Linked DNA regions of Sus scrofa. The protein of the gene in region 5 purifies or fractionates together with the protein of the main gene of each other region. This does not show direct contact. Links are inferred from orthologs where the notes say so. Each region holds a gene or a part of one and is shown on either strand. Other genes may lie near its edges.

Region 1 (6,397 bases), on a different chromosome or scaffold from region 5:
TGCTTTACTCTCTCATTAACAAGTTTCTATAACTTGGACTTGGCCAAGTTCTATAAAAATATTCAATACAAAGCTGTATAAATGGCTAACAATGATAATAATATCCAATGGTCATTGAACTCTTTACCTAAATTGTTAGTCTTTTACATGTGTTATCTCACTGCAAGTCCATGAGCCCCAGGCACCTTTTATGCCCTACTAGTTTTTTTTTTTAAATCGAAGTATAGTTGATTTACAGTGCTGTGTCAATTTTTGCTGTATAGCATAGTGATCTATTCATACACATATATACATTCTTTTTCTCATACTACCTTCCATGATGTTCTATCCCAAGAGAATGGATATAGTTCTCTGTGCTGTACAGTAAGACCTCATTGCTTATCCATTCTATTTTTTTTTATGTCTTTTGTCTTTTCAGGGCCACACCCATGGCATATGGAGGTTCCCAGGCTAGGGGTCTAATTGGAGCTACAGCTGCTGGCCTATGCCAGAGCCACAGCAAAACCAGATCCGAGTCGAGTCTGCAACTTACACCACAGCTCACGGCAACACCTGATCCTTAACCCACTGAACGATGCCAGGGATTGAACTCCCAACCTCATGGTTCCTAGTCAGATTTGTTAACCACTGAGCCATGACAGGAACTCCTTACTTGACTTTTCTTCAAACTGGGGCTTTTTGTTTTTCTCTCCGTATATCTTTTTCTCTCCATTTTTAGAATTTAAGTTCTCTAATTTCTAATCTTTTAATGGTTACATCTGAAATTCCACCATGCCTACCCAACAAAGTTTAATATCTTAAACACCCTTTAGAAAAATTCAAGGATTACAGAATACTTCAACTTATCATTACAATTCCTGCTTACCCAGGGTTGTTTACAGAATTTAAGTACTATGCATTTTTACCTTCATAAATTAGAATATAATTACTTCTATATACATATAGTGTTTATTGAGATTTACTTAAACACATTATTCCTTCTCCCCCTTTTTGCCTAACTTTCCTTCTTGACTATCAGGTTTTCTTTTAAGTTTTTTCCTTCTTCCTAAGAGATATCCTTTAGAATAGTGGTTTTCAATTTGTGCAGTTCAAATATCCTCTCCACTGCTCCCCTAAAAGCATTTTAGAAATACATCATTTTGTCATCACCACGATTTGATGGCATTTACTGGTATGTGCAATGTGAGTTAGGGATGCTGAGCTTCTTGAAATACACAGGATACTCTCCCACATAAAAGAGGTTGCTCTGGTTCCTACATGACTTTCAATGGTCCTCCTTGACATTCATGCAGATGAAAAATCTGTTGATAAGTATCTGAGTCTAGGAACTAATTCCATTTATATAAAAATAATATTTGGCACAGTTTTAATACAATGAATTTTACAGGAATGCAAAAACAATGTAAATAAAGAGTATATATTATTTCATTCTGAATTTTACCATTAATAGTTTACCTTTTCAAAAAAATCGCTTTGCTAATAGCTATATTAATCCTGGTGTCTGAGTTGCCAATATAACTAATGTGTTATATTGTCTGAAAATGTAGTTGCCATGAGCTGGTCACATGCCACATGCTGTCACATGCTGGTGGTTGTCACATGTATACACATACACATATTGGGTTTTATAGCTTTGACCACAAAAAGTACAAGTATGCCTACTCTGTAAGTATGTTTTTTTCTTAATGTGGTAGTGAGACAATCAAAATTAAGCACACATTTCATCAAGAAATACGCTGCTAGAGCTGGCATAGCTGTATCATACTTTTGCTCCTGGAAGTAATAGCTTAGACTTCAAAGGAGGCTTTGATCCTGGTTAACATGTAAAGTGAATCCAGGTGTTATTGGACCAGCAGTGTAAAATATAAAGCGGGATACATGAGAACTTATTGACATTCAACCACTGATTTGTTTTGGGATTGACTGTTCTATAGACACCAGGATCTTGTAGGTTGTTGAACATGACCGTGGTCTGGGGATTTAGCTAGAATGGAAACTGGACAAGGGACCATGATTCGCCACTGCAACTTCCGGCAGAGTGATCTTTATATATGATATCTAATGGCGTAACTCTGCTATCCCATTATGTCCTACAACTTTCGAGATAAATCGCTAATCACTTAAAAGTGCCAAATATGATCTTTTCCAATGTGGTCTATTTACTTCACTAGACTCTTCTTTTTTCTTCTTACAAATTCCAGTACGGAATATGCTTCACTCTCTCAGCTTTCTAACCTTTGCATGTCTAGCTTGTTTTCTCTTTACCTCTTTCCTTGAGTCTTCTATTGGGTTAAAAGGTAATTACGGGTTTCCACAGCACCTACCTGGCGCATTTCTCTAGCATAACATTTACTTGCTCTGTGTTGTAATCGCTGACTTCTTGTCTATTAGGTTGTGAGAGCGTCGTCCTCTTTACACTCCCTAGCAAGGTGCTTGGTAAAGGGTAGGAGTTAACAGACGTAACCCTTTTCTCTCTGAACTCCCTTTTCCCCTCCTACCTAAAACCATTTCAGCAGGCGTACCTAAAACTTTCTCTAGGAGCTCCCGTAATGTAGTCGAGAGGCACTCCCTCCCACCTAGGAAGTCACGTCAACGTACTGACGTCACCCGTAGCGCTGACGTCCGCCGTCAGGTCCACCCGTAAAGCCTTTGGGATATTTTTTGCAGTTAGTAGGGGCAGCTTGAACTCCGTTGGTAGAGCAGGCCGGCAACAACGACTTCCAAAGGCGGGACCTCGCGGACTTTCGCTTCGTCAAAGCAAGGTAACTTGTTTTCCCCAACGATGCTCCAGCAGCGCAGGCCCACCCCCAAGCCCGCGGTCTCCCGGGGAACGGCGCTGAGCGCAAGCAGGGGGCTGGGTGGGGGCGCGCATGCGCAGGGCACAGAGGTCCTCGGACCCTCATAGCTGTGGTTGATATTGACAGAGGATGGCTCATTTCTCCGGTGAGGACCAAGCGATGCTGCAGGCGATGCTGAGGCAGCTGTTCCACAGCGTGAAGGAGAAAATCACAGGAGCTCCGTCCCTGGAGTGCGCCGAGGAGATCCTCTTACATCTGGAGGAAACTGATGAAAATTTTCACAAGTAAAATTGGTTTTGATGTCTTAAGCAAACGAAACAGCTGATTCAGAAAAGGTTCAAATGCAGTTAATGAAGGTTCATGTGATTACTGACAAAAGAGCGCCCAAGTTGAAGGTTCATGTTTTCGTTTGTTTCCCCAAATGCCGAATTTATTTTTTATTCTTTTTCTGTTTTCCAAAGCTTCGGCCTCTTCTTTGTTTTTACTGACGCAACCAACATATCCTAATTATTTTTTTTTCTCCCAGACACCGTTAATTGTAAAGGAACATTAATTGTAAAGTATTCCCGTTCATTTAAGATTAATTCTATTATCTCAAGGGTTTTCTGTCACTACACCTAAAAACCCTGAGTTCCCAATATCCCTGTTCTTTTGCTGATTTTACATTTCAGTGACTGCAACAGTTATCCATTCTGAGCCCTGCAGGAATACTGGAGTGGGATTGTTAACTCCCCATAGACTAGCCTAAATTTCTACAAAGGGATTAATTAAGGTGTATTACTCAAATGTCTGTGATACATGTCAGAAATATAAATGCCCATAGAAGTTTAGAGTGGTCTGGGTTTGGGAGCAGGAGAAATAGGAAGTTTAATGAGAGGCACCATTTGAGGTAAATCTTAAAGCATATGTTTCTTTAGATACCTTTGTTTTTTTATTTGATTCATATATATAATTTATATTAAGCCTCTCCATTGAAAAGTTTGCCTCCAGGTGCCTCAGTTTATTATTAGCAGCAGTGATTTTTTTGTCTTTTCAGAGCCGCATTCGCGGCATATGGAAGTTCCTAGGCTAGGGATTGAATCTGAGCTGTTGCTGCGGGTCTACCCTCAGTGAGGCCGTGGATGGAACAGGAAACCAACCTCAAGGTTCCTAGTTGGATTCATTTCTGCTGCTCCAAGAGGGAAACTCCAGTAGCAGGGATATTTTTAATTGATGGTTTGCCTTTTATTTTGAACTCTCAGAAGATGACGTTTAACTTTTTTGTGTGTGTTATTTTTACTGGCATTTGGGTGCCCTGAAGTACTTATCTGTAACTCCTACAGGTTTCATATGTGGGCACCAGGGGGTCCGTGAGCCCTTTAATAGTCTTTGCAAAAGTTTGTGTTTACTTGGAGTTTTATGGGGGGAGGATTTCCAATTTTCACCAGATTCTCCAGGGAGTTTTAAAAAGTGTGGAAGGAATTCTTGTTAATATAGAGTTTCTAATTTAATTAGCGTCCCTGGTTATACATATGGTTTCTTTTGTGTTTTCCAGATTTTCTTGTTTATTTCTTCATTAAGTCCATTACTAATAGCTGATATTACACAATTACATTTTTTTATTTTGGAGGTACCAGAGACCAGCTTTTATTGGTTAGCTTTTGGTTTATTTCTTAACAGTGGGACATAGAAAAACTGCAACTTTCTCAAATTCAGGTTTGGTCATTAGTATTTTGTATACTGACTTGATACCAATTTACTCACACAAATCCCTGTCAAGCATTAGATTTGGGATTTCATTTCACATGCAAATACTTATTTAAAATATTTGTGAATTATTGGTTTTTTTGCTAGGATCGTATTCTGGGAATTTGTTTAATATAGTCTTTCAAATTTATTTAAATAAAGTTTTTTTAAAATTAATATCCTATTACTTTAAAAATATTTCTAGTATCTATAGCTGTCCCTTTCTTCATTCTTGTTTTTCAGTTTTGCCCCCTCTTTTGTTTTTGATCTGTTCTGCTAGAGGTTTGTCAATTTTACTAGTCTTTTCAAAGAACTTGCTGTTAGCTTTGATTTTCCTCTCTATTATGATTTTCCTATTATGTATTTTTATGGTTTTTTAAAAAAATTATACTCTTCTTTCTTCTCTTCTTGAGAAACTTTTTAAACTTTTGTGATGAATGTTTAGGTCATTAATTTGCAACTTTTCTTAGTTTTTAATGTAAACATTTAAGGATACGCATTTGCCTGTATTGCTTTATCTTTGTCAATTTAAAAAAAAAAAAGTGCTTTTCAGGGAGTTCCTGTTGTGGCTCAGTGGGTTATGAATCTGACTAGTGTCCATGAGGATGTGGGTTTGATCCCTGGCCTTGCTCAGTGGGTTATGGATCCGACTTTGCCATGAGCCATGGTGTAGGTCACAGACAAGGCTCAGATTCCGAGTTGCTGTGGCATAGGCTGGCAGCTGCAGCTCTGATTTGGAAGCGCTGGGAACTTTAGGTGTGGCCCTAAAAACCGAAAAAAAAAAAAAATTCTCTTCAAGTTAAAGTTGGGTCATTCTGGTTCCTCTCAGTGCTCTAATGACTATTGTAATGATATAATTTACTCTTCAACAGTTCATTAGATTAAATACCTGCTGATTAACTTGCATATTAATGTTTACCATTGGAGGTTTACTTGTGGCCGACCTAAAAGAAAATCCAGGCCCATTGAAATTACAACAAGTTTATAGTTTTATAAGATTTATAATCCTAAAAATGTTTGAATAGTTGGTAGTCTTAGAAGTATAGATAGTAAAATTCATATATTAGCTGCACTAGCCTTAGATCTCTGCCTTAGGAGGAAGAAACTCCTTATGAAAGAGGAAAGAGGAGGAAATGCTTGTGCTTGGTATTTTCATAGTATTTAGAATCTCAGAGTTTGATGAGATCCTAATTGTCATTTGATGCATATGCTCATATTTTCATTTTTCTCCCTATTCACTGACCTAACTCTCCTTCAAGAGCAAATGTTCTTGAGTCACTTAGGTATATGTTGCTTCTCAAAATGTTTCATATGTCAGAATTATCTGTCATCCCATCTCCTCAATCAGAACATTGGTTCATTCAGTTCACCTGATGTTGTCATGGTATATTAGCAAGAAAAGGAATCTTACTAAACCGATTTATAAGGGAAACTGATATCTCTAAGTTACTGGAATTTTTGTAAGAAGATGGTTGTTAAGACAATTGAGTCCACGAATGATGGAGTTTCAGGTAGTGTAATAAAGTGGGAGGAAAATGTAGTCATTTGGGGAGAAACCATTGTGTACATAGTACAGTCCTATCTGGGTTTTTGCCCTATAGTGCAGCTGCCCTAGACTATTTCTGCTTCCATAGCTGCTTTTGTATTTTTACCTTAAACTATACAGTTCCTTTAAAAGATCCAAACTGTCTCTTATCTTTGAAAGTAGCAGTGAAGGGAGTTTCCATCGTGGCACAGCGGAAACAAATCCGACTAGGAACCGTGAGCTTGTGGGTTCGATCCCTGGCCTCATTCAGTGGGTTAAGGATCCAGTGTTGCCATGAGCTGTGGTGCAGATTGCAGACGGCTTGGATCTGACATTGCTGTGGCATAGG
Region 2 (6,606 bases), on a different chromosome or scaffold from region 5:
GTTAGTACCAGCATTGCTGGGAGCTGTGGCATAGGCCAGCAGTGCAGCTCTGATTCGACGCCTAGTCTGGGAACTTCCAGATGCCACAGGTCTTTTGCCTAAAAAGACAAGACAAACAAACAAAAAAACAAAGACCAAAACAACCCACCAAGCATAATGAGTAATATTCCACTGCATGGATATACTGCATTTTTTTAGTCATTTATCTGTCTGTGGACACTTGCGTTGCTTCCTTATTCTGCCTGTTGTGAACAGTGCGATTATGAATGTGGATGTGCAAATATCTCTTCAAGACCCTGCTGTTAATTCTTTTGGAAATTTCTCATTGTGGAGCAGCAGAAACAAATCTGATTAGTATCCATGAGGATGCAGGTTTGATCCCTGGCCTTGCTCAGTGGGTCCAGGATCCAGCATTGCCATGAGCTTCGGTATAGGTCACAGATGCGGCTTGAGTCCCTTGTTGCTGTGGCTGTGGCCAGCAGCTGTAGCTTTATTTCGACCCCTAGCCTGGGAACTTCCACATGCTGCAGGTGAGGCCCTAAAAAAAAAAAAAAAAGAAGAATTAATAAATTTTACAGTTCACATTTCAAAGACTACAAAGAGGTCCAGTGAAAAGTTGGCCTCCTATTCTGTCCCCAATCCTTCTAGCCCCTCCACCAGGTAACCACAATCATGAAATCTCGAGTATTTTTTCCAGACATATTATGATGCATAAACAAGTATTATTTATATTGTTTTTTTTTTACACAGCTAGTGGCACTCTATGCTCTATTTTTCATCTTGCCTTTTTTTTTTTGGCTGTGCGTACAGCATATGGAGCTTCCCTGGCCAGGGATCAAATCCACGCCACAGCAACAACCTAATCCACTGCAGTGACAACGCCTGATCCTAACACACTGTGTCACAAAAGAACTCCTCATCTTACCTTTTTTAACTTAATAATATATCTTAGACATCTTTCTATTACTATACATTAAAGAGCATCCTTGGGGAGTTCCTGTTCTTGCTCAGCAGTAACAAACCCGACTAGTACCCATGAGGACTCAGGTTTGATCCCTGGCCTGGTTCAGTGGGTCAAGGGTCCAGTGTTGCTGTGACTGTGGCATAGGGAACTTCCACATGACGTGGCTGCAGTCCTACAAAAAAAAAAAAAAAAAGCACGCCTGTTCTTTTTTGAGGTAGTATGGTTTTCTATTTGATAGGTGTATCAAAATTTAGACAGTCTCTTATGGATGGACATCTATGGTGCTTCCAATCTTTTGCTATTTAAACTATGATTCAATGAATAACTTTGCCATGTCAATTTTTTTTTTTTGTCCTTTTCTGGGGTCACTCCCACAGCATATGGAGGTTCCCAGGCTAGGGGTCAAGTCGGAACGGTAGCCACCAGCCTACACCAGAGTCACAGCAACTCGGGATCCAAGCCGCGTCTGCGACCTACACCACAGCTCACTGGCAATGCTGGATCCTCAACCCACTGAGCAAGGCCAGGGATCGAACCTGCAACCTCATGGTTCCTAGTCGGATTGGTTAGCCACTGTGCCACGACAGGAACTCCTGCTATGTCATTTAATACATGTGCAATGTGTTAGGTGGGGGAATTTCTCAAAGTGACCTTGCTTGGTCTAAGGGGATATGCATTTATAATTTGATCAGCATTGCCAAATCACACTCCCATCAGCAATATATGAACGCTCCTATATATATATTTCCACAGCATGGCCAATGCATTGTTAGATATTGAACCAATGATAGGTGGAAAATTGTAGATTATTTTGCATTTACCTTATTGTGTATGAGACTGAGCACTTTCTCAGAAGTTTAAAAGCTACTTGTATATTTTGTCAACATCCTTGGTACATACTTCCTAAAAATCACTCAGCTGCAAATTCCTCCAAATGTTTCCTCAGGAGAAGCCCTCAGACATGGACTTTCTGGGTCAGAATTTGCATTTTTAAAAATCTTTCTCCACAAATTGCCTGTTGATCCTCCTGCCAGGACACAGACCCGAGACATCTCCCTTCAGTCACCATCGGCTCTGTGTCTCATAGGTGGGAAATGACACCTCTATGTTCTCAGAGGTGGCGGCTGGCACCTCTAAGCCTGCTCAGGGAGGGGGAGGGGCAGGCCCCGCCAGGCACCCACTCCCCCCGCCGGGCACCCCCCCACCCCCTACCCCATCGCCTTCAGCCCCGCCCCCGTCGCCTTCAGCCCCTCCCCCGTCACCTTCAGCCCCTCCCGGTTACCTTCAGCCCCGCGCCAGCTCCCCGCCCCGCCCGCTGAGCAGCTCCACCCTCCCGCCTACGCAGCCCCGCCCCACCTGCGCCCAGCCTTGCCCCGGGGCTGCAGGGCCCCGCCCCGTGCGTGCTCTGGCGTCACTCGTCATGTGATGCCCGCGCAGGGTTGAGAAGGGGTGACGGTGACCGTTGCTGCGGTTGGCCGTGTCTGCACTCGTGTGACTGACTCCCCTTGAGTGAAGCGCCCTGAGCCGTGATGGCGAGCGCCTAGGGGAAGGCGCAGACGAGCCCAGGGCCGCCTTCCCTGGCTGCGCTGGCCTCCCGGTCCCGGAGCGCGTGCCCGCGCCGTTGCTAGGCAGCCGCCTCTGGGCGCAGAGGGCGGGGCAGGCTTCCGCGGAAGGGTCCGGTTGCTTGTGCACGGGAGAGGTTGTTACTTTGGAGCGTAATAGTGCCAGGCAGAGGGCCATGGAGCAGTACTGCATCTTGGGCCGCATAGGGGAGGGCGCTCATGGCATCGTCTTCAAGGCCAAGCACGTGGAGGTGAGCACCCAGTCCTTCCTTCGGTTCCTTTGAGATCTACCCTATGTTCCCACCCACGCATGGGCCATTGCTCCTGCCTCCCCTCAGCTTTTTGTGGCGTCCGCCTATCTCTTGCCCCCTTGGCGGGGTGGGGTGCGGCCAGCTGTCAGCGGTGCTTTTAGATGGCGAGTGTTCCCTGTGAGCTGGTGTGGTTTTCTCTGAGCTGTTTTCCCAGCGCTGCGACTCCTGGCCCTGATATCCCTCCAGAATGGGGTAGGGGGTGCGTTCCACTCTCACGAGGGCCTCAAGCCTCGCATCCCATTCCTTTTCCCAGCCCGGGATGGGGTAGCAGTGTCTGCGTCCTGTCCCAAACAGACTGGAGAGATCGTGGCCCTCAAGAAGGTGGCCCTACGGCGGCTGGAGGATGGCATCCCCAACCAGGCCCTGCGGGAGATCAAGGCCCTGCAGGAGATTGAGGACAGTCAGTATGTGAGTAGGGCTGGTGCCCTGTGCTGGGGTTCCTGCCCTTATCCACTCACTTCCACCCTGGGGACTTGCTGTCATCTGCTTCCTCACCCCTCACTACTCCCTTTCCTGTCCACTTGTTCACCCTTATTCCCTCCCAGTTATTTCATTCCTCACTCACTCCCTCTCTGTTCACCCACTTATTTCTTTGTGTACTTATTTATTCACTAACATCCCTTTTTGCTCAAAACTTTTAATGATTTTTAATGATAGTGATAATTGCCACCTACTGAGCTCCCATTGTGTTCTCCAGGCTGGATTAACAGCTTTATGTACATTGTCATTCTTTTTTTTTGGTCTTTTTCGGGCCACGCCCACAGCATATGGCGGTTCTCAGGCTAGGGGTCTAATCAGAGCTGTAGCTGCCGGCCTACCACAGCCACAGCAACAGCAACGTGGGATCTGAGCCCTGTCTGTGATCTACACCACAGCTCACAGCAACACCGGATCCTTAACCCACTGAATGAGGCCAGGGATCTAACCTGCAACCTCATGGATCCTAGTCAGATTCGTTTCCACTGAGCCATGATGGGAACTCCACATTGTCCTTCTGAGTTTTCTCCTCTGATTGGGGAATCAGTACATTTTAACTTTGGGGCCCCCATAGGCTCTGCCCTCTGCTGGGCACTGGTGACGAACACTGACCCTGACCCTGACCTGGCTCTCGAGACAGGACAGAGGCTGCAAGACCCTCCTGGCCTCGTTTGTGCTGTGATGGGCCCTGGAGGGGCTGTGGGTACAGGAGGAGAGACCGCACCCGCCCAGCCTCATTCTCTCTGTGCACTTCTCTCTTGACTGTGTCCGGAGTAGAGAATGTGTGTAATTTCCTGGGGAATGCCAGGGGCAGGTCCACCCACCCAACAGTGGGTGATACTCTGGCTTGCTTCTTATCCTCTGGAGATGTTCGTGCTATATCAGTGCCAAAACCATATTATACAACTGCATGTGTCATCCTGGTTTTGTGCGAAAGTATTTTGTATACGCCTGTGCATATATGTCTGTATGTGCCATGTCTGTTGCTAAGTCTGGTGGAATATACTTGTGAGGTTGACAGTAGGTGATAGGATTTTTCTTTTGCGATTTTTTTTGCTTATGAGTTTGTGTATTATCTGAATGTTATGTGTTTGTCTCAATCTGTAAAGTGATTGTCTCCTACTCTCAAAATCAGAAAAGCAGTAATATGGCCCTTCTCTCTCTCTCTTTTTTTTTTTTTTTCCCTTCTGCTTTTTAGGGCTGCACCCGCAGCATATGGAGGTTCCCAGGCTAAGGGTCTAATCAGAGCTACAGCTGCCAGCCTACACCACAGCCACAGCAATGCCAGATCCAAGCCTCTTCTGTGAGCTACACCACAGCTCATGGCAACACCGGATCCTTAACCCACTGAGTGAGGCCAGGGATCAAACCTGCAACCTCATGGTTCCTAGTCAGATTTGTTAACCACTGAGCCATGATGGGAACTCCCCCCTTCTCATTTTTTGAGGAAGGAAAAAGGACTTGGCGGCAGCTTGTGCGTGGGAGAGGTGGAGGGCCCATGGGGTCCCGTGTCCTGTGCATCAGCAGGCCTGAAGTTCTATCTTTAAAACACTCCAGATATCATTCTAGCCTTGCCCAGGCCATCTTCACCTCTCATCAGAATGACTTTGCCCCCCAAACCCCCTCCCTGACCCCACTCTACAGTCAAAACGTGTAGTTGAAGTTATCCACTCTCTGGCTTGAAAAGCCCCAGTGGCTTCTTTTCACTCCAAAAGAATTGTCACTGTCCGCTGTCACCCACCTCTAGTCTCTCTCTTTTTTTTTTTTAATTTTTTTAATTTTTAATTTTTTATTTTTTTTATTTTTATTTTTTGTCTTTTTGCCTTTTCTAGGGCCACACCTGGGGCATATGGAGGTTCCCAGGCTAGGGGTCGAATTGGAGCTACAGCTGCTGGCCTATGCCAGAGCCACAGCAACGCGGGATCCGAGCATCATCTGCGACCTACATCACAGCTCATGGCAGTGCCGGATCCTTAACCCACTGAGCAAGGCCAGGGATCGAACCCACAACCTATGGTTCCTAGTCGGATTCCTTTCCCTTGCGCCAGGGCAGAAACTCTTCCAGTCTCTTTTTCTCTTCATTCAACACTTAAGTTTCTCTTGCCTGACAAGTACGTCTAGGCTCCAGGAGTACAGAGCAGCCTCCTTCCTGTTCTCGCCTTGGAGCCTTGTGCTCACTGTCCCCCTGCCCAGAACTCCTTCCCAGATCCCTGCATAAGTGAGCCCAGCCCATCTCTTCTGTCTTCATCAGAACCTTCATCAAGATACCCAATAGATTTGTTCTTATGCCTGTCAGTCATTTGTCCCCCGAACTCCTTAAAGCCCATCAGGACCCCCTCGCTCTTGCTCCTGCTCACTGCTGTGCAGCCTGGCCCTTGTGACCTGTGGGCCCTCAGGAAGTATATGTGACATATCTCCTGCTGTCCCAGCGCTGGGAGATGTGACCACCAGTGCCTTCTCTTGGTTCTGGGAGTTAATGGCTGTAGAAGAAAGAGGAGGAGACCTGTGTGTGTGTGTGTGTGTGTGTGTGTGTGTGTGTTTCCAGGTGATTTTCCAGTTCGTAGGCTGGGTGGGGGACCAGACACTGCCCTAAGTGGATTTTCTTAGACCTCCTTTCTCCTGCGCCTTTACTGGAGCATTAGAGTAGGTTCTTGCCTTCTGTTGGGAGAGGGGAGCACATGAGAGCACCCAGCTCCCTGATTCTAAGCTCAGATCTCCTGTCACCTTCTCTGCCTGGTCTTCTGTTGGGGCAAGAGCCGAGAGTTCCACAGAGGGTGTGAGCCACGTGAGTCTGGGGGCTGATGGGATGCTTCTCCCCCCTCCCCCACAGGTTGTGCAATTGAAGGCTGTGTTCCCGCACGGTGCAGGCTTTGTGCTGGCCTTTGAGTACATGCTGTCAGATCTGGCTGAGGTGCTGCGCCACGCCCAGAGGCCGCTGGCCCAGGCACAGGTCAAGAGCTATTTGCAGATGCTGCTCAAAGGCGTTGCCTTCTGCCATGCCAACAACATTGTGCATCGGGTCAGTTCCAGCATGGGCTGGGGTGGGACCTGGGGGACCATGATGTAGGGCATGCTTGGAGAGGGGACAAAGGGGGCAGGCCCATGTGTGAGTGGCCAGGGGTATAGCCCTGAAGGAGGTGCGGTCCTGGGCTGACCCGGGTGCTCAGCCTGCCCAGCTCTCTTATCCCGAGGTCCCATGGGGGCTCACAAGGAACCAATGCCTCTTTTTGTGCCCTCAGGACCTGAAACCAGCCAACTTGCTAATCAGCGCCTCGGGCCAGCTCAAGATAGC
Region 3 (5,882 bases), on a different chromosome or scaffold from region 5:
AGAAAATAGTTTTTCACAAGTCTATATATAGCAAGACATCAGCGTTCTTTCCAATTTTTTTCTTTCATTTACAAAAAGAAAAGCAAGTGAAGTGTGGATTCAATATTTTATATAAAAATAAAACAGAATTTTACTTCCAAGATTGAAGAACGCAGATGAACCCTATATATTTGAAGAGACATTAAAATCTTACATATAAATGATATTGCTAGTTTAAAAAAATGTAGGACACCTAAACACCTATTTCAGCAAAATAAGCCAGTATAAAAACTTAATGCCTTTCACTTCTAGATATTGGATCTTGTCTTCAAAATCTACTGTAGAATAGAGCAAAAACCAAAAAATACCCCAAACTCAATTAGCAGGGTCCTCCCGTTCAAACTGGAGAACAGGAGGGAGCAGGAAATGACAAAGCTGCAAAGCAAAATGCCATCTCTCTTGTGAGATCCCCAAATCTGTGAAGTTTCTGTTTTTTCTTCACTTTTCTACAAATCTGCATTTTGGGTGGGCTGGTGGAGAGGTGGTTATTTCTATTTCACTGAAGATGGTTGAAGGAGATAACCATTTCCACGGTCTTCTTTGTTTAAACTTAATTTGAAGATGGGATTTTAAAAAAAGGCACCTTTTGGAATAAGTATATTCAAGATGGTTGAGTAGAAGGTAACTTTAGTTTGTCTTCGTTTAGAAACATGGTGACTTGACTTAACTTGTACTTAGCTCCAGAAACTTGAGAAAGGTCTGGTTCTGGTTTGAATGAATTCACTCAATAATTTCATTGATGGCTAAATAACAATTCTTCATACAGTTTGCTTAGAAAAAATATGTCCAATTTGTACAGGATTTAGACTGATTCTCCTTCCGTTTCCTGGATTAGGAGTAGAAAGTGAATGCCAAAACAGTTTGCATGGTAGAAAAAATCTCTAGCGCTTCACCCCTACCATCGTCAGTTTTTCTACATTAGAGTTCTGCTATCTTCATAGCACAGCATTTGTTTCAACTTTCCCCAAAGGATTTCTTTTCTCCTTATCCCTCTAGACTTTGCTTTCCATTTCTAATTACAAACACGACATATAATTTTAAAAGAAAGAGAAGACACAATTGTTACACAGTGAGAGGGGGAAGAAAAGAACATCAGAAAGTAAAAAGCTGCAATATTGCAATATGTACTTATGGAGCAGAGAGTATGGATTCTACTCATTCACAAACCCAAACAACCCCAATTTTGTCCCTTTCTATTTTAAAGATGTGTTTCAAGGTTTGAATGGAGCCTCAAAATAGGATCCATTGAAATCCCTTTCAGTAACAAAAGAGGCACAACAATACAGCTATTAGAATGTTGAATAAAGCCCAGGGATTCAAAATACTGGCAGGGTATGCACAACTAATGAGCCATCAACTAGGAGATAGTAGGTTAGGTCCCCAAATAATGATTTTCATGGTGGGGTGGGGGGAGCAGGGGTTCAAGGGGATGGAAGATGGTTCCTTTGCTCTGAATAAACATCATATTCTCCTGTTTAAAATATACTATCTTTGAAGTATAGATAGAAGAAAATATATTTATGAGAGAACTGAACCTCCAGCAATCTGAAAGCTGTACAATCACTTAAAATGCAACAGAAAGGAATAATTCACACTGAATACATACAGACCTTGTAATTCTCATAAAACTGACACAGTCCCTTTTTTAGTGTAAATTTATAATGAAGTCAGTTGCTGAGGCTCTGTTTATTTTATTAAGAATATTAAAAACCCTTTACTAGAATACTCTGAAGCTGTGACTTATAGCTCATTAAAGATATATATCTGTTACATACAGCAAAGCATCTTTATTTTTATACTTTTAAGTATGGATTTTATAAGATTTAGGAAATAAAAAACATATATATTGTTCTCAGCTACTTAAAATATTTGTTATGATAATTTGCAAAAATCATAAAAAGGCAAAAATAAAGCTCTATAGTTCTCAGTACTATTTTCATCACATTTCGACTGGTTAAAACACCCATGTCTTTTCCAAACAAAGGAAACAAAAAAACTAAGAGTCTTCCTCACATTATTGGTTTCCCTGCAACAGAACTATACTATATTTTTATTCCCATACATGTATGGCTTCACAATTGAGAGTTTAAAAAAAGGCTAATAAGAGGCTAAATAGGAACATATATCTTTAATTGAGGGCTTCAAACATTCAAAATTTGGAAGTCCACCAAATGACTTTTAATTGGTCTCCAGAAGTGAAATGAAAAACTCAGCTTTAATTTCTTACTCTATTCATATAGAATAGTTATTTATAAAAACATTTCAACGTAATTTTACAAGTCAAGAGTTATGTACCTTTCCATTTACTATGTCACTTTACTCATCATCTTTAGTATGGTTATTTTCCAAAAGGAAGACAGTAATAGATACTAATTTTTAAAGCATCACATATAAGTCTTCCATTAATAATTTGGTCTGTTGGGAGTTCCCGCCATGGCTCAGTGGTTAACGAATCTGACTAGGAACAACGAAGTTGAGGGTTCGATCCCTGGCCTTGCAGTAGGTTAAGGATCTGGCGTTGCTGTGAGCTGTGGTGTAGGTTGCAGACTCGGCTCAGATCCTGCGTTGCTGTGGCTCTGGCGAAGGCCAGGCTACAGCTCCGATTTGACCCCCTAGCGTGGGAACCTACACATGCTTCAGGTGTGGCCCTAAAAAGACAAAAAACAAAACAAAACAAACAAAAAAAACAAACAAACATAGTTTGGTCTGTTTATTTCTATGTGATTTGAGAATCAGTTTTTGTTCTGTTGATGTTGAGGATACTGCATCACTCTGGATGGGTAGTTTTCAGTGAATAATGACCTCTTCTTTCCCTGGGGGATTTTATGACTATTTATTTTATATGTGTGTGTATGTGTATAGTCTATAATCAAGTACTTTTACACAAACAATACACTGAACTGCTATAGTTTAAAAAAGAGAGATTAGTTTATGATCTTATTTTTTTTTAGTACTAACCTAGTTCCCAATCTCCTGGTTCGTAGCCCCATAAAAATTGACCTTATTAGTTTTCCAAAAGAAGCAGCATTGACTGGGTCCAGTTTGTGTTCCTGACAGTGTCGTAGGTAGTGGTTGTATAGAGTGCTTCTGGGAAGGCTCACTCCTTCTGCTGTCTCGTAATTGTCCAACAGCCACTGGAGCTAATATAAATAAGACAGGGTAAACAGAGAAACCGTATAATTCACCAAAATGTCTATAAGACACTGCAACTACAATACACAGAAATACTTAGAAGATCTTCCTCAAGCCTTGTAATAGGTAAACTGTTGTAATTCAGAGGCTCGTGTAAACTGACTTTGAAAACCCAGAAGCCTAAGTAGCTGAACATCATCTATTGACCTCAGACCATGTCATTCCTTCAAACATTCAAGCACATATGGAGACATGCTAATTTTCCTTGTACTGATTGCTATTTTGGAGACAAATACCTCTTCAAGGAATTCATATAATCCCATTAACTGGTTATAAATGTAATTTATAATTGCTACAGAAAAAAACATGTTACTAAGCCTGGCAGCATGGCACATAATAGGTCTTCAGTGTTGGTTTGCTACAACATGAATAGCAGGCTATCTTGTTATAAGTCCTTATATTAAGGTTCTAGTCATTTTTATAGAATTCTAATTTACTTACACAAGATAATACAATAGTGGTATTATCTACTGGGACAAAATCTGAAAGAAGTAAGGAAAAGTTTTAATCTTTTCTTCCCTAGAAAGAAAGAAATTTGCTAGGCGCTGATTTAAAAAAAACTATGTGTAATGAAAAAGAATCATTTATTACAATCATTTGAGTTTTTCTACCTCCAAGCTATGTTTTTTCATAAATTTGGAAGGCACACTACAGTCGTAGTTGGTAAAGCAACGTTTTCTCAGTCTATAGTTCACATTTTAGAGTTTTATGTTATCCTGATTTTTTTTTTTTTTTAATGGCCACATGGCAGAATGTAGAAATTCCCAGGCAAGGGATTAAATACAAGCCGCAGCTGTGATCTATGCAGGCCACAGCTTTGATAATGTTGGATCTTTTAACCCACTGTGCTGGACCAGAGTTCAAACTTGCACCTATGCAGTGACCCGAGCTGCTGCAGTTTGATTCTTAACCCACTGTGCCACAATGGGTACTCCTTCTGTGTGTATTTTTTTAAAATAATCTTTAAGGTATAGAATGTACAAGAAATTTTTAGAAGTTCTAATCTAGGTATACATTACTGAGTTTCAATATTAGTAAAATCAAATTATCAATCTGCTCACTATTTAAAAAAGGAGAATGGAAATAGGTTTAAATGACTTTCTTAAGGGCAGACATATACTTTCTCAGTGCTTGATCTGGTTTCTAACACATTTTCCTGATTACATGCATACCAGTTATTATTCCTACAAAAGCCACATATATGTCACATTACCTGTCTCAACCAAATCCCCATGCCAGATAGAGGTATGATGAGAAGCTGATATTCCATATGTAATTTGAGTTAAAAATAAGTTATAGAAGCCAAAGAATTCCTTTATTGAGCATAAAGTATCAGCCAGGCATTATGCTGGGTACCAACAGACGTAATAATGAATGTAACTCACCCTGGCCCTCTAGGAATTTACACTCACATACCAAAAATGACACATGGACACTAGAGGAAATGAAAGCATTTTTCCATTCTGCTTACATATTTAAAAATTTGTGATCAAACTCAGAACCTATGCTTTCAGACTCTAAATAGGAAAATCCATTAAAAATATCCTCGTAATCATTTCCTTTAACCATGATGACTGAATTTTCTTTTTTTACTGTTTTTTAATTTTTATTTAATGATTTTTATTTTTTTCCATTATAGTTGGTTTACAGTGTTCTGTCAATTTTCTACTGACAGCAAGGTGACCCAGTCACACATACACATTCCTTTTTCTCACATTATCATGCTCCATCATAAGTGACTAGATATAGCTCCCTGAATTTTCTAGAACCATTTCAATTTCAAATACTCCTACATGATATTTATACAGTGGAACATGTGTCATTAAACCCATACTGATGTTTGCTTATAAAATGTGACCACCAAACCTACAAGACTGAGCAAAATACTTTTAAAAATAAAAATAAATTCATGTTCTGATCAGTAAGCCTTGAAGTTCTCCATGAACACATATGCACATGAATAACAGTTTTAAATATACCTATTGCCTCTGTAACATATACAACCTTCCCCTATACAATTTCTTAAAGATCACACAAAATAAACATTCATTTTTATAACGGTCAAAAAATTACAGATCAAAAAGAGGTTTTTTTTTGATATGAATCACCTGTAATCTTACTGAGAGTAAACAAGTTTTCCAAAGGCATTTATACATGATCTCTGAGTATTCTACAGGACACACAGAATAAGCTGATGCATAAATATTCATTTAGTGTAAAGAGAGGCTGTAAACTGATTGGGAAATCAGCTATCAAGACTCAAACTAGTATCCTGCCTCCAACGCTTGGGTTAGTGTGTCTCTTTAGTGTTCCTTTTTAAATTTAAAGGCTTTGTTGATTATGAATACAACTGACAGAGACAGCACATAAAACGTGACAAATCAAATCTGCCTCACATATTTCATCCACGTGCCTCAGTAAGATTACTGGAATCTGAAAGCATGGTTTCCTCACATGAATGGTGTTAGGGCAGCCCTAGTGTGTTGGCTCTTGTTTTGTGTACACATTTCTAGAGAGACTGTTCCTTTGGTATTTTAAATATATAAAGAATATAGAAATAAAGAAAACTGAGACACAGAATATAGAAAGAAATATTCTTTGAGGAATTTAATTCCTTGACATCAAGGAATATAAAGGAAACACCAAAAAAG
Region 4 (5,882 bases), on a different chromosome or scaffold from region 5:
TTAAGATTTGCTTCCATTGTGCCGCAACGGGAACTCCCTATATTCAATATTTTTAAATAAAAACTCCTTTTTTTCTTTTTTGCTTTTTAGGGCCGCACCCACGGCATATAGAGGTTCCCAGGCTAGGGGTCTAATTGGAGCTACAGCTGCCGGCCTACACCATGGCCACAGCAATGCCAGATCCAAGCCGTGTCTGCGACTCACACCACAGCTCACAGCATTGCCCAATCCTTAACCCACTGAGCAAGGCCATGGATCGAACCCGCAACCTCATGGTTCCTAGTCGGATTTGTTTCTACTGAGCTGCGGCAGGAACTCCTAAAAATTCCTTTTTTATTTTTATTTTTTGTCTTTTTAGGGCCACACCCACAGCATATGGAGGTTCCCAGGCTAGGTTTTGAATAGGAGCTGTGCCCACCTATGCCACAGCCACAGCAGCACGTGATCTAAGCCACATCTGTACCCTACACCACAGCTCACGGCAACACTGAATTCCCAACCCACTGAGTGAGGCCAGGGATCAAACTGCATTCTCATGGGTGCTGGTCAGGTTTGTTTCCACTGTGCTACAGTAGGAACTCCCTGTATTAGTTATTTTTAAATAAAAATTCCTTTTTTAGGAATTCCCGTCCTGGCGCAGCAGAAATGAATCCAACTAGGAACAGACATGGCTCAGATCTGGTGTTGCTATGGCTCCAGCGTAGGCTGGCGGCTACAGCTCCAGTTAGACCCCTAGCCTGGGAACCTCCATGTGTCGCGGGTGCGGCCCTAAAAAAAAAAATTCTGTCTTTAAAATATAAACTCAAGAATAGGTTTTAGAGTTCCCTGGTGGCTCAACAAGTTAGGAATCTGTCATAATTGCTGCTGTGGCTCGAGTTTGATCCTTGGCCCAGGAACTAGTGCGTGTTGCAGGCACAGCCAAAAACAAAAAACAAAAAGAATAGGTTTCAAGCCAATGGACGTTTATCAACAAACAGAAGATTCAACAATTCATTTCACTACTGAGTATTTATTAATAATTTAAACAGTAGCAATAAGATCAGTTGCCTAAGAGTAGTTATTACTTTCCATGGATCAATTTGAACTTATATTTAAATTACTAGTGTTGAGTAGTTATTTAAAGTTTCACAACTTAATTTTCATATGGTCCTTTATGAATGGTTCTCAACTTGGGGGTGCTTTTGCTCCACCGGGGATGTTTGGCAGTGTGCAGAGACACTTTGGGTTGTCACAGCTGGAGAAGAGACTGCTACTGCTATCTAGTTAACAGAGTCCAGGGATGCCTCTGTTAACTACAGTGCACGAGAGAGCCCCAACAAAGAATTATCTGTCCCAAAATATCACTAGTGCTGAGGTTGACAAATTTTGTCCTGCTATGGGATATTACAAGTCATAAGCTATTTCATATTTTACATTGCAGTATGCAACAGAAAATTAATTGAACCAATAATTGTTTTTGATAATTAATAAAAAAGACCATACAGTACTAAAATAACTTGGACTATAGTGTTTATATTAGTAGTCAGTGTTTTTGTTTGTGTTTGATGTTTTAGTATAAAGGTGCACATGTAAAGCCAGGATTTGCTGAACATTTCTACAGTAACCCTGCAAGATATAAAGGAAGAGAAAATATGTTGGTATGTTTGATTTGTATTTTTCAGAGATTTAAAATGGTGACCTTACAGTTCTATACTGACACTTTTTTTTTTTTTTAAGTATTATGATACAATTGAAGATGCCCTTGGTGGCGTACAAGAAGCTCATTTTGATGGACTTATCTTTGTTCATTCTGGAATATATACTGATGAATGGATATATATTGAATCTCCAATCACCATGATTGGTGCAGGTATTTTGAAATGCATTGTCATTAAGATTTTAACATTTTACTTACATGATGGGTTTTTTAAATGCTTAGGTGACTTAATATCCAGATGAACGTTGATAATACCTTAATCGTAGCAAAAAAATAGGAAATATCATATTTATTTTATATGATGGAAATGAAAACTTCAAAGTTCAGAAATTGTAATTGTACCTATTTCTTTTTTTAGATGTATATATTCCTTGATGTTGTTATTCCCTTTGTCCAACTGCTTTAGTTGTTCGTTAAGGAGAGAAAAATATTTTATTTGTTAATTTTGTCTTTTTGGGGAGGATAATTTTGTCTTTTATTAATACAGATACTGATATTTTTATTACTGTGTTTTTAATGAAACAAATGTACTTTTAAAATACTTGGTATATTGATTCAAAGCTGTTTTTATGTTCAGGTTTCTGAGTATAAATGTAGTGTTTGTTGAACACTGATAAGTTATTTGAAGATTTATGCTATCTTTGGCATTTTTTTAAGGATACAGTAGTACACAGACCATTTTATTAGAAGTATTATTACTCATGCATTTGAATGTAATGGTACTCAAAAACACCTATGTTAAGTATGACTGCCTGTATGAAGGCCAATGAAATATAGTTATCTATCTGGTAAAATGAATATTAATCCTATCTACTCAATACTAAGATTCTTTAAAAGTTCCCTCATTAGGAGTTCCCTGGTAGCTTGCAGGTGGAGGATCCAGTCAATGTTTTTATGGCTGTGGCTCCAGTCACTGCCATGGTATGGGTTTGATCTTTGGCTCAGGAACTTCTGTACGTCACAGGTGTGGCTGAAAAAGGAAAAAAAGTTTTCTTTGCAAAAAAAAGTCCTCAATTTAAAAACAGTAAAAAGACTTCTACTGAATTATTAGTTTCATGGCAGAGTACTTCTGCTCTTTAAAGAAGTATTTTTAAATTTCCATTTCATCTGTCTCATAAAGGTAATGTGCTTTTAAATATTTTCTTCACAGCACCTGGAAAAGTAGCAGACAAAGTTATAATTGAAAACACTAGAGATTCAACCTTCGTATTTATGGAAGGTTCTGAGGATGCTTATGTTGGATATATGACAATAAGGGTAAGAAATTAAAATTTTTAAGTATATGTATGTAAATCATTAAGGCATTGCTTGTTTAATTCACACAAAATTTCTACTTTTCAGTTTAACCCTGATGACAAATCTGCTCAACACCACAATGCACACCACTGCTTAGAGATTACAGTAAATTGTAGCCCTATTATTGATCACTGTATCATCCGAAGTACTTGTACAGGTTAGTGTTCCTCTTACGTTTTATTATAAAATGAGTCACTGTCACCTGGTGGGTTTCTAGTTAATTCTTTGTCTTACAGTTGGCTCTGCAGTATGTGTTAGTGGTCAAGGAGCGTGTCCCACTATCAAGCACTGTAACATCAGTGACTGTGAAAATGTTGGACTTTATATAACAGATCATGCACAGGTATTTTTCAGTTTTGTCTTTTTTCTTTGCTAATTTTTTTTTTAGCACTACTAATGTTTGTTTGTGGTTGATTGTTGTAGGGAATATATGAGGATAATGAAATTTCCAATAATGCTTTAGCTGGGATTTGGGTTAAAAATCATGGAAACCCGATCATTAGAAGAAATCATATTCATCATGGACGTGATGTTGGTGTCTTCACATTTGATCATGGCATGGTAAGAGCATTTCTTCTTAATAGAAAAAGTGACTCATGTCAGTTAAATTTCAAATAGGCTTCAGCATTTTTTTCATCACCAAACTGTATGAATTGAAGAATATAGGTTTTAAAAAGATTTCAGAAGTTTCCATCGTGGCTCAGTGGTTAACAAATTCGACTAGTATCTGTGAGGATTCGGGTTCGAGCCCTGGTCTCAATGGGTTAAGGACCCAGTGTTGCTGTGAGCTGCGGCTGGGCTCGGATCCTGCGTTGCTATGTCCACGGCGTAGGACAATGGTTATAGCTCCGATTCGACCCCTAGGGAACCTCCATATGCCACCAGTTCAGCCCTAAAAAGCCAAAAGAAACAAAAAAAGAAAACAAAAAGATTTCAGTATAATATTTTTAAATCAGTATGTAATATCGATTCTCTGAATTCATGAATCTAACATTACATACATGTAGAGAAAGTGGAATCCTTAGGGAATTAATGTGATCTCTGAGGGGAGTAAGTTCTAATCCAGTAGCTCTCAAATGTAAATATGCATAAAAACCACCCAGAATATAGTAAATCAGAATTTTTAAGGATGGGGCTCAGGATATGCCCGTTTTTTTTTTTTTTTTTTTTTGGGCCCCACCCATGGCATATGGAAGTTTCTGGGCCGGGGATCAAACCCGTGCCTCAGCAGAGACAATACCAGATCCTTAACCCCCTGTGCCACAGCAGCAACTCCAGGATATGCATTTTTAATAAACACCATAGGTGAGTTTAATGTAGGTTGTCTGTAGACTACCCTTTGAGAAGCAGTAGTTCACCATTTGATTTCCATTTTCTTCCTCTTAATTTTTTTTTTTAAACTGGTAGAACTTTTTTTTTTTTTTGTCTTGTCTTTTTAGGGCCGCACCTGCGGCATATGGAGGTTCCCAGACTTAGGGGTCCATTCGGAGCTGTTGCTGCCAGCCTATGCCAGGGCCACAGCAACACAGATCCAAGCCGCATTTGCAACCTACACCACAGCTCACAGCAACGCCAGATCTTTAACCCACTGAGCAAGGCCAGGGATCAAACCTGCAACCTCATGGTTCCTAGTCAGATTCGTTTCCGCTGTGCCATGATGGGAACTCCAACTGGTAGAACTTTAGTAAGAAATACAATGATGATAATATATTGATTCTAAAACTGTTATGTAGCAGGTAATTAGGCATCTTTATGGATCATACTGTGTTTTAGATACTACCAGGTCATTTTCCACAGTTTTTAGAGATAAGACCTTTTGAGCTCTCTTAGGCCGCTATTTCAAAATAATGTTCTTGGGTGCCTAGTTAGGTATTCTTTTCATTTAACGTCTGATTTTTGTTGAAGTATTTTTTAAGTGCTAGTACAGCATTGACAACACTTTTTGTTAAGGAATTAGATAGGATAGGAGATGGTGACAGGGCATGGTGATGTTTTGTTGCTATTATATGATCATTAACCGGCAATTTAGCAGTGTCAGATATCATATACAGATTGTAGATTTGTGGACATTCCCTTATGGCGCAGCAGGTTGGGCATCCAGCATTACTGTAGCTGTGGCACAGATCGAAAATATGGCATGGGTTTGACCTCTGGCCTAGAAACTTCCATATGCACTGGGTGTACCCCTCCTCCCCCCAAAAAAATCCCATTGTTAGTTTGCTAAGGACATTTTTCATTTTTATTGTTTGTGCCTAAAACCTTAATGTAGAACTCTTTTTCAAAACTGAACTAGACCATGAAGAGTAAGTACCCTTTTATCAAATTCTGATTAGACTTAAAACTTAAATAGCTTCAGACCACCTGATTCATTATATTCTTGGGGTAGCTGTAACCTGGGAAAAACAGTTCACCTAAAACTCAAGGTATATATAGTTGGGGCCTTTGGATGAGAAAGCACAGTGGTGATGATCACTTGCTTCCCCAGCTAGAATTTAAAACCTGACATTATCTTGTGAATTTTAGCTCTTTTTACAAAGGAGTGGGTAGGGGAGTTTCGGGAATTAGGGTATCTGGGCAAAAGTGTGGAGGCTCTCCAAACCTAAGAGTCTTAAGAAGCTCTCTTCCCTTAGAGTCTCGTATTGGCTGTAGTTTTTTTTTTTTTTTTTTTAGGGATGCACCCGCGATATATGAAAGTTCCCAGGTCAAATTGGAGCTGCAGCTGCTGGTCTGCACTACAGCCACAGCCACCTGGGAATCTGAGCTATGTCTGTGACCTACACTGCAGCTTGATGCAGATCCTTAACACACTGAGTGAGGCCAGGGATGGAACCTGCATCCTCATGGATACTAGTCAGGTTCGTTACCTCTGAGTCACAACAGGAACTCTGGC
Region 5 (6,448 bases):
GGGGTCAGCCTCAGAAGATCCGGCCCAGCCCCTGCCTGGGCGGTCGGTAGGGTGTCTGTGGGCCAGCTTTGGGGGGCAGTCGGGGGCCCTGACTCGGGCACTGTCCGGAGGTGGGGGCGGGCCTGCCTGCTTACAAGAAGGCACCCACGCTGGCCCACTCATGCAGGTCGGCGGCCAGGGTGGCATCCCCGGCCTCAAAGAGGGGCTCCGGGGGCAGGCAGCCACTGCCGCTCTCGTCCCAGGGGTGCTGCAGGAAGGACGTGGCCAGGAAGGTCTCGTCGAAGTCCAGGCTGTCGGCAGCCTGCTCTGCCGGAGGCCCCCAGGGAGCCGGGCAGTCGATGTGGCGGCCGTGGACGGTGAGGTCCACGTCGCCGTGCGAGGCGGGGCTCATCGGCGGGCTCAGCTCCAGGGCCTCCAGGGTGCCCAGCTCCCCGCCCAGAGCACCAGCGTCGAAGATGGCCTCCCAGTCGAAGTTGCCTTTGAGGGGTTCCAGCTCGCCCTGCTCCTCCTGGGTCAGCAGCAGGGTGCTGGAAGGCCGCGGGACCTTGGCCACCCGCTTGGGCAGCGTCTGTTTGCGCTTATGCCCCAGCCTGCCCTCGCCCGCACCCCAGCCGGCCTCCCCGGTGGCCTCCTCGAACTCCCGCAGCAGCTGCTGGGCCTCGGTGTTCACGGTCAGCGGCCCGGCCCACTGCGCGGCGCGAGGCTCCTGCGCGGCCTGGCGGGCAAAGGCCGGGTGGATGTGGACTGGCGGTAGCCGCCGCTTCTTGAAGGCCCCGCTCAGCAGGCGCTCGGCGTACTGGGGGTCGATGCGCCAGAAGCCCCCCTTGCCCGGCTCATCCTTCTCCCGCGGCACCTTGATGAAGCACTTGTTCAGAGACAGGTTGTGGCGGATGGAATTCTGCACAGGGAGCGAGGAGAGAATGAGGGCAGCAGGGTGAGTGCGCAGGGACAGCGATGCGGGCCCTGGTGTTACTGCCAGGCCCCCACCAGCTTCTCGCTGATGGGAGAGGGGGGACAGAGGCGCTGCTCGGACCAGGAGGCTCTGGGACACCAGCCACGGGGGCTTTTGTTCCCTGTTGCCAGGGTATCCGCCTGCTCAGTCATCCGAGCCCCGAGCCGCAGGGTGGCTCTCCGTGCCACCCTGTCCTGCCTTCCCCTCTCTTTCCCTGCCGCTCGAGGCCTCTGGCCAAAGGCCTCGGCTCCCCCAGGGCCTGGACGGCCATCTCCCTCTGCCTGGGCCTGGCTGGCCTTCTCTGTGAGTGGGTGTGTGTGGGGGGGATCTGATGACTTTCCTTGTTTGTAGAGCCGGCTGCTGGCCTGGGCCCTCACCCCCCCCCACGTCCTCCTCCTCCCACCCCCAGCTAGGAGAGGCCTCCGTTGATTATTACCCAGCCAAGAGCATAGCACTCATTCCTGGGGCCTCTCAGGCTTGGGGGAGGGAAGGGGGGGGTGTCTCTACTTTCTCACCAAGGTTACAAATGGTACTGCCCCAGGGTCAGGGCCCAAGCGAACATGAAATCGTTTGGAACCATGATGCTGTCGCCGATGCTTCTTCAGGGTCCTGGTCCCCCCCGCCCCGACTGGGCCCCGATCCTGATGATCAAAGAGGCTCAGGGCAACGTGTGCCCAGCCTCAAATCACCATCCTGCCTTGCTCACGCCTGGGGGCACAGTCCAAACCATGCTGGGGCACAGGGGTCTGGGGCCTGGTCAGCGGGGCCGGCAGGTGGGTGGCGGCCCCTGGCAAGGCTGGGATGTTTACATGGCGGCCTGGGCCCCTTGGCTGCTCTGTGCCAGGTTCCGGAGACTTGGAACATGAAGCCAGTGCGGGAGGCAGAGCCCCTGTGGAAAGCACCTGGCTCAGGTAATTGTCCCCCCAGGGAGTTTGATGAGAGGAGGGGGAGGTGTGGAGGCAGGAAACCAGGGAGGGTTTAGGTGGGAGACTGGGACAGCGGCTTTAGGAAAGCCCCATCGCCCTTCCACTGGGACGCGGCTGGCCTTCACACCCCACGGCACACCCCTCTCCCCTCCTGTCCCCTCCAGCCAACTGAAACCAGGCAGGATGCAGCGCCTGGCAGGCATGATGCTCCGACTTCCGCTCCCAGTCGGCCTCTGACAAACTGGCCTTGGGCAGGGTAGTGTCTAGGAATTCTAGGACGTGGGACAAAAATGTGCCCCTTAGTCCCTCAGCCTCCCCTGTCCACCCACAGTTCATCCCTGGTCTTTGGGCTGGGCCTGCTGGTTGAGTGACAAGTTCTTCCACGTGAACCTCAAGGGCAGGCACCCCTAAAGCCCTCGGAACACCCTCCCTCCTCCTTCTCTGAAGTCAAAGAGGGGGCAGTTCCAAGCACTGGGCTCCCTGGAGGTCTTTCCTCGACGGCCTTTCTCCCTCCGGGCCCTGGCTGCACCCCGCCTACTTGGCCTGCGGATCTGGGATGTGAGTTCAGCCCTTGCAAGCGCGAGCACGAGCACGGGGGGGGGGGGGGGGGGGAGGGAGGGCCTCCCCTACCTGCCAGGTGGGATCAGCGTGGCGGAAGTAGCAGAAGTTGTCCGTGATCCACTTGTAGATGGCCGACAGGGTGATCTTGGTGGCCTTGCTGGCCTGCATGGCCATGCAGATGAGCGTGGCATAGGAGTAGGGCGGCTTCACATGCGGGTTGGTGGCGTAGTCCACGTCGTCGGGAGGCGGGGCCTGCAGCCCCGGGGGCGCGCTCCGGGACGTGCACGACGACGTGGGCTTGCCTGGCGTGTGTGGCTGCCCCAGGCAGGCGGGGTCGGCTGCCAGGGGAGACCCCGGCGCGGCCGAGCCTGGCACCTGGTGGTAGCCGTGGGGGTCGGTGCCCCCAGAGGGCAGGGCGGGGGCCTTGGCGTTGAGAATGGAGAATTCCTGCAGCCACTGCAGGCTGGTCAGGCTGTCATCCAGGGCATCGGGCTCCTCTAGGCCGCCCTCCGGCCCGGCTTCCTCCGCAGCCCCTGCTCCCGAGAGGCGTAGCCAGCTCTCCGCCATATCTGCGGGGACTCTCTGAGGGGGCGGTCAACATCCACGAGCTGAGCCGAGGGTGGCGCTCTCCGGCCCGCTGACTCCCGCGGCTCCAGTTACACAGGCTCCCGGAAGCGCGCTTCCATCCCACGACCCCGGGGGTCGCCTCCTCCGAGTCGAATGTGGTGTCTGCGGGGACCAAAACGGGAACTGAGCCCTCTTCCCCCACCCCGGAGGGGAGAGTGCGTGCGAGGCGGGAGGCGCCTCCAAAATCGATCCCGCAGCTGGTCTGGGAAACAGAAGCAGTGCCCAGGGGCCCGACCTCCACAGGGTCCACCTGTCTCTTTCCCTCTTTGATGTTTTAGAGGAGTCTTCATTAGCCTAACGAGGGAAGAGTGTAGGGGCATCCAAGGCTATTCCCTAATCCCCGAGAGCGCGAAATTAAACCCCCCTCCCTCCACAACAAGTGGAAATAGGGCGAGAGAGCCCAGGAGGGCGGTATGAGACCAGGCGGGGGGCGGGGGAGGTCGTCTGATCTTTGAAAAGGAATATTAGGCTCAAGGGGAAGGAAGAGACAAGGACCAAGAGTTACAGAGGGGTAGGAAGTGAGTGTCCCCTAAACTCCACTGCTGTCATTACCCAGACCCAACACTTCCGTCGGGGACGGATGGGAGAGCGGGCCTGTACCAACGCCCTCTCTTCCCGCGGCCCGCAGCCCTCCCCGTCCCTTACCTGGCTCAGAGCGCAGCTCGGGCCAAAGGAAGGTTCTGGAAGAAGGTCCTGCCACTCCCCGCGGCTCTCTGCCCCCAGCTCGAGGACCCTGCCAGCAACCCTCGTCGTCCCCCCCACGCCCGACGGCGCCTCTCTGAACGCCAGCGGCCCCGGGACCGGTATTAAGTAGTCGCTCAGAAGGCTTCTACTGCTGCCATGGCGACGCTCCGCCCCCATAAACAGCTTCCGCTGCTGCCATTGGTCAGCGTGTCTCCAAGGAAACCGCGGGCTCCTGCCACTCTCTCTGGCGGTAATTCTCTTCGAACTCCCTCCTTCTGCCGCCCTCTCCCGCGCCACCCAGCCCCCTACCCGCCACCGCGTCCCGGCTCCGTGCGTTCCCGCCCGAGGACCCGCGCAGGGCTCGGAGAGGCGCGTGGCTCGGCGCTTCCGCCGAGGCCCCGGGCCCTTCGGCGTGCGGTTCGTCGCGGGCCCCGCGCTCCCGCCCCACCCCACCCCACCCCTTACGGTCTGAGCAGCTCCGAGGTGTCGACGACGGCTCCTGGGAAGCAGCCCCGGGCTCTGGGGCAAAAGCTGGGAGCCGGCTCAGGCTCGGGAACCATGTGCTTGGGGTTTTCCTCTCCTCTGGGCTGCGAGTGGCACTTCCTCGCGTTTCTGCGGCCCGTCACTCACTCCTGACACTGAGCGTCTTCTTGGTGCCCGCAGGCAGGTCTGACTCTCCGATGCCACCTGCTGCTCAGGTCTGCAGAACCCCAGCACCGGTCGCAGTCACCCCAGTGCGGGTAGGGTAATCCAGTGTTTCCCGGTAAGCCCCCACTCTCTGCCCTGTTCTCAGCAAGATGCCTGGAAGCTGACGTTCCAGAGGCTTCTTCGGAAATGCTCCCCCTCCTTTCCAGATAGCCCAGGAATCAGAGGTGGCGGGTGAAACTCAGAAAAGTCATGAACTTGCCTAACTCTCCTACCGAGATCCTTTGCCCCGTTAATTTTACCCGCCTTTATGTGACAGGGACTAACAGAGGACTGTGGCCCTCCCCCCCCTTCCCCTTCCCCAAGCCTCCCTCCAGTCACCAGCTTTCCTGCTCTTCAATTATTGACAAGCTGCAGTGTTGGAAGTTCTCGGGTTTAAAGACGGGGTGGGGGCGGGGTGGGGGCTCCTTATCCGCCCTCTGAGCAGGAGCTGTGCCCAGGGAATGGTACCTCAACTCCCACCCCAAAACGTCTTTCCCTCCTCCTTGCCGCCCCCCCACCCCAGCTTCTCCTGAGTGAAAACATTAAAAAGTGCTGGAGGAAGTTGGACAGAAACTTTCACAAGCCAGCTGCACAGTTAACAGCTCTCCTTCCCTTGTAAACAGCTTTATTCGTTGTTAAGAATCATGCAGCAATCCATACATATTGCATCCTTGACGTCCCCACTCTAGCGCGCCCAGGAGCCTACTCCAGGGAGTGTGGGGTACGGAGACGGCACACCAGTCCACACACACTTACACACACTAGGTGTGCAGGTCCTAGAGCAGGGAGCAACCAGCATGCTGAGGTGGGCAGGACACGAACTCCTCCCCAGGTGAGCTGGCCTAAAGTGTGTGGGTCTGTGCCCAGGAGATGCCCCAGTGAGGGCATGACCTCCGGTGGGAGGGGCTGGCAGGGGAAGGCAAAGGGGCTCTGCGAGGAGGCCGGGATCGCCACCCCACATGGAGGTGAGCTCAGACCTGAGCGTGGCAGGCAGGAGCCCCAGGCCTCCCATAGTCTGTGCCCTCATATGAGAAGCCGGGCCCTGTCGCGTTCTCTCTGGGTTACCTGCCTACACATGACTGTCCCCAGATGGTGGGTGGGGCAGATGCCCTGTTCCCTGATCAGGCTGAGGACCAGCCCCTTTGGATGGGACCTTTCTGCTTGCCAGGGAGCTAAACGGGAAGAGGTGGGGATGGGGAGGGGAGAGCAGGGGCCGTCTGATGAGGAGCCAGAGGCCGCTTCTGACCCCGGTGTGTCTTGGTTATGGAACCGAGGCCTCGGGGAATCTGCGCCTCTTCGTGGGAGCAGACAGACGCTCCAGAAGAGGTGAAGGCAGTGACTTCGGGCTCCTGGCCCCGTGGCTGCTGCTGACCTGCATCTGCTTCATCTCAGGTGACACCACACGGCGAGCCCTGCCTCCTCTCCCGGCAGGCCTGTGTGCCACCACCCAGGCTAAGGGAGCTCGCTGTCCCCTGGTGCTTCTGGGGCTCAGCCTTCAAGGAAATCAGGAAGTAGGGTTATTGCTCAAATCTTAAATACGGAAGGGGCTGGAACAATCTGGGAAGGAAAGGACATCGAGGAGTTCCCTGGTGGCCTAGTGGGTCAAGGATCACGGCATTGTCACTGCTGTGGCATGGGTTTGATCCTTGGGCCGGGAACGTCTGCGTGCTATGGGTGCAGCAAAAAAAAAAAAAAAAAAAAAAAAGACCTAAAGACACAAAGTGCGGTCTGAAACAGCAGAGTCCGCTGCAGGATTTCAGAAAGGGTGGACACGGGAACTCAGGACAGAAGCTTGGATTTAGCTTGGCTCATGTAGTGTCTGTCAGGACAACAGGCCTCGCCACCCCTCAGGGCAGGACGTGAACCGCAGCCACAAGGCAGCGAAAGGCTCACTGCCGGCCTGGTGGTGCAGAGAAGCCACACGGAGGGACCGCCAGGCACTGGGCTCTCTGAGGCCTTGGAAAGGACCCTGGGAAGCTCTGCTAGGGCGTCAAGTCCAGCTACTAAGACG

What was found.
Region 1: the proteins of FOXJ1 (region 5) and TBC1D32 purify together in Homo sapiens (affinity purification with mass spectrometry; 3 studies listed by BioGRID and IntAct, counting the BioPlex papers as one, with this or other methods). This does not show direct contact. The link is inferred for Sus scrofa from reciprocal best matches to the Homo sapiens genes FOXJ1 and TBC1D32.
Region 2: the proteins of FOXJ1 (region 5) and CDK20 purify together in Homo sapiens (affinity purification with mass spectrometry; 3 studies listed by BioGRID and IntAct, counting the BioPlex papers as one, with this or other methods). This does not show direct contact. The link is inferred for Sus scrofa from reciprocal best matches to the Homo sapiens genes FOXJ1 and CDK20.
Region 3: the proteins of FOXJ1 (region 5) and RFX3 purify together in Homo sapiens (affinity purification with mass spectrometry; 3 studies listed by BioGRID and IntAct, counting the BioPlex papers as one, with this or other methods). This does not show direct contact. The link is inferred for Sus scrofa from reciprocal best matches to the Homo sapiens genes FOXJ1 and RFX3.
Region 4: the proteins of FOXJ1 (region 5) and FBXO11 purify together in Homo sapiens (affinity purification with mass spectrometry; 3 studies listed by BioGRID and IntAct, counting the BioPlex papers as one, with this or other methods). This does not show direct contact. The link is inferred for Sus scrofa from reciprocal best matches to the Homo sapiens genes FOXJ1 and FBXO11.

Annotation. Positions count from the first base shown.
Region 1 is NC_010443.5:41,055,181-41,061,577, forward strand, and holds the start of TBC1D32 (protein broad-minded), read left to right. Parts: upstream 1-2,611; 5' UTR 2,612-2,762; intron 2,763-2,924; 5' UTR 2,925-2,927; coding exon 2,928-3,082; intron 3,083-6,397.
Region 2 is NC_010456.5:19,870-26,475, reverse strand, and holds the start of CDK20 (cyclin-dependent kinase 20), read left to right. Parts: upstream 1-2,373; 5' UTR 2,374-2,702; coding exon of another isoform or gene 2,703-2,745; coding exon 2,746-2,777; intron 2,778-3,090; exon of another isoform or gene 3,091-3,131; coding exon 3,132-3,237; coding exon of another isoform or gene 3,238-3,245; intron 3,246-6,144; coding exon 6,145-6,333; intron 6,334-6,553; coding exon 6,554-6,606. UniProt on the Homo sapiens protein: Required for high-level Shh responses in the developing neural tube.
Region 3 is NC_010443.5:218,566,365-218,572,246, reverse strand, and holds part of RFX3 (transcription factor RFX3), read right to left. Parts: intron 3,180-5,882; coding exon 2,998-3,179; intron 1-2,997. UniProt on the Homo sapiens protein: Transcription factor required for ciliogenesis and islet cell differentiation during endocrine pancreas development. Essential for the differentiation of nodal monocilia and left-right asymmetry specification during embryogenesis.
Region 4 is NC_010445.4:92,764,819-92,770,700, forward strand, and holds part of FBXO11 (F-box only protein 11), read left to right. Parts: intron 1-1,553; coding exon 1,554-1,637; intron 1,638-1,716; coding exon 1,717-1,849; intron 1,850-2,846; coding exon 2,847-2,953; intron 2,954-3,037; coding exon 3,038-3,149; intron 3,150-3,228; coding exon 3,229-3,335; intron 3,336-3,415; coding exon 3,416-3,553; intron 3,554-5,882. UniProt on the Homo sapiens protein: Substrate recognition component of a SCF (SKP1-CUL1-F-box protein) E3 ubiquitin-protein ligase complex which mediates the ubiquitination and subsequent proteasomal degradation of target proteins, such as DTL/CDT2, BCL6, SNAI1 and PRDM1/BLIMP1.
Region 5 is NC_010454.4:5,304,775-5,311,222, reverse strand, and holds the start of FOXJ1 (forkhead box protein J1), read right to left. Parts: upstream 3,854-6,448; 5' UTR 3,712-3,853; intron 3,169-3,711; 5' UTR 3,007-3,168; coding exon 2,509-3,006; intron 899-2,508; coding exon 131-898; 3' UTR 1-130. UniProt on the Homo sapiens protein: Transcription factor specifically required for the formation of motile cilia. Acts by activating transcription of genes that mediate assembly of motile cilia, such as CFAP157.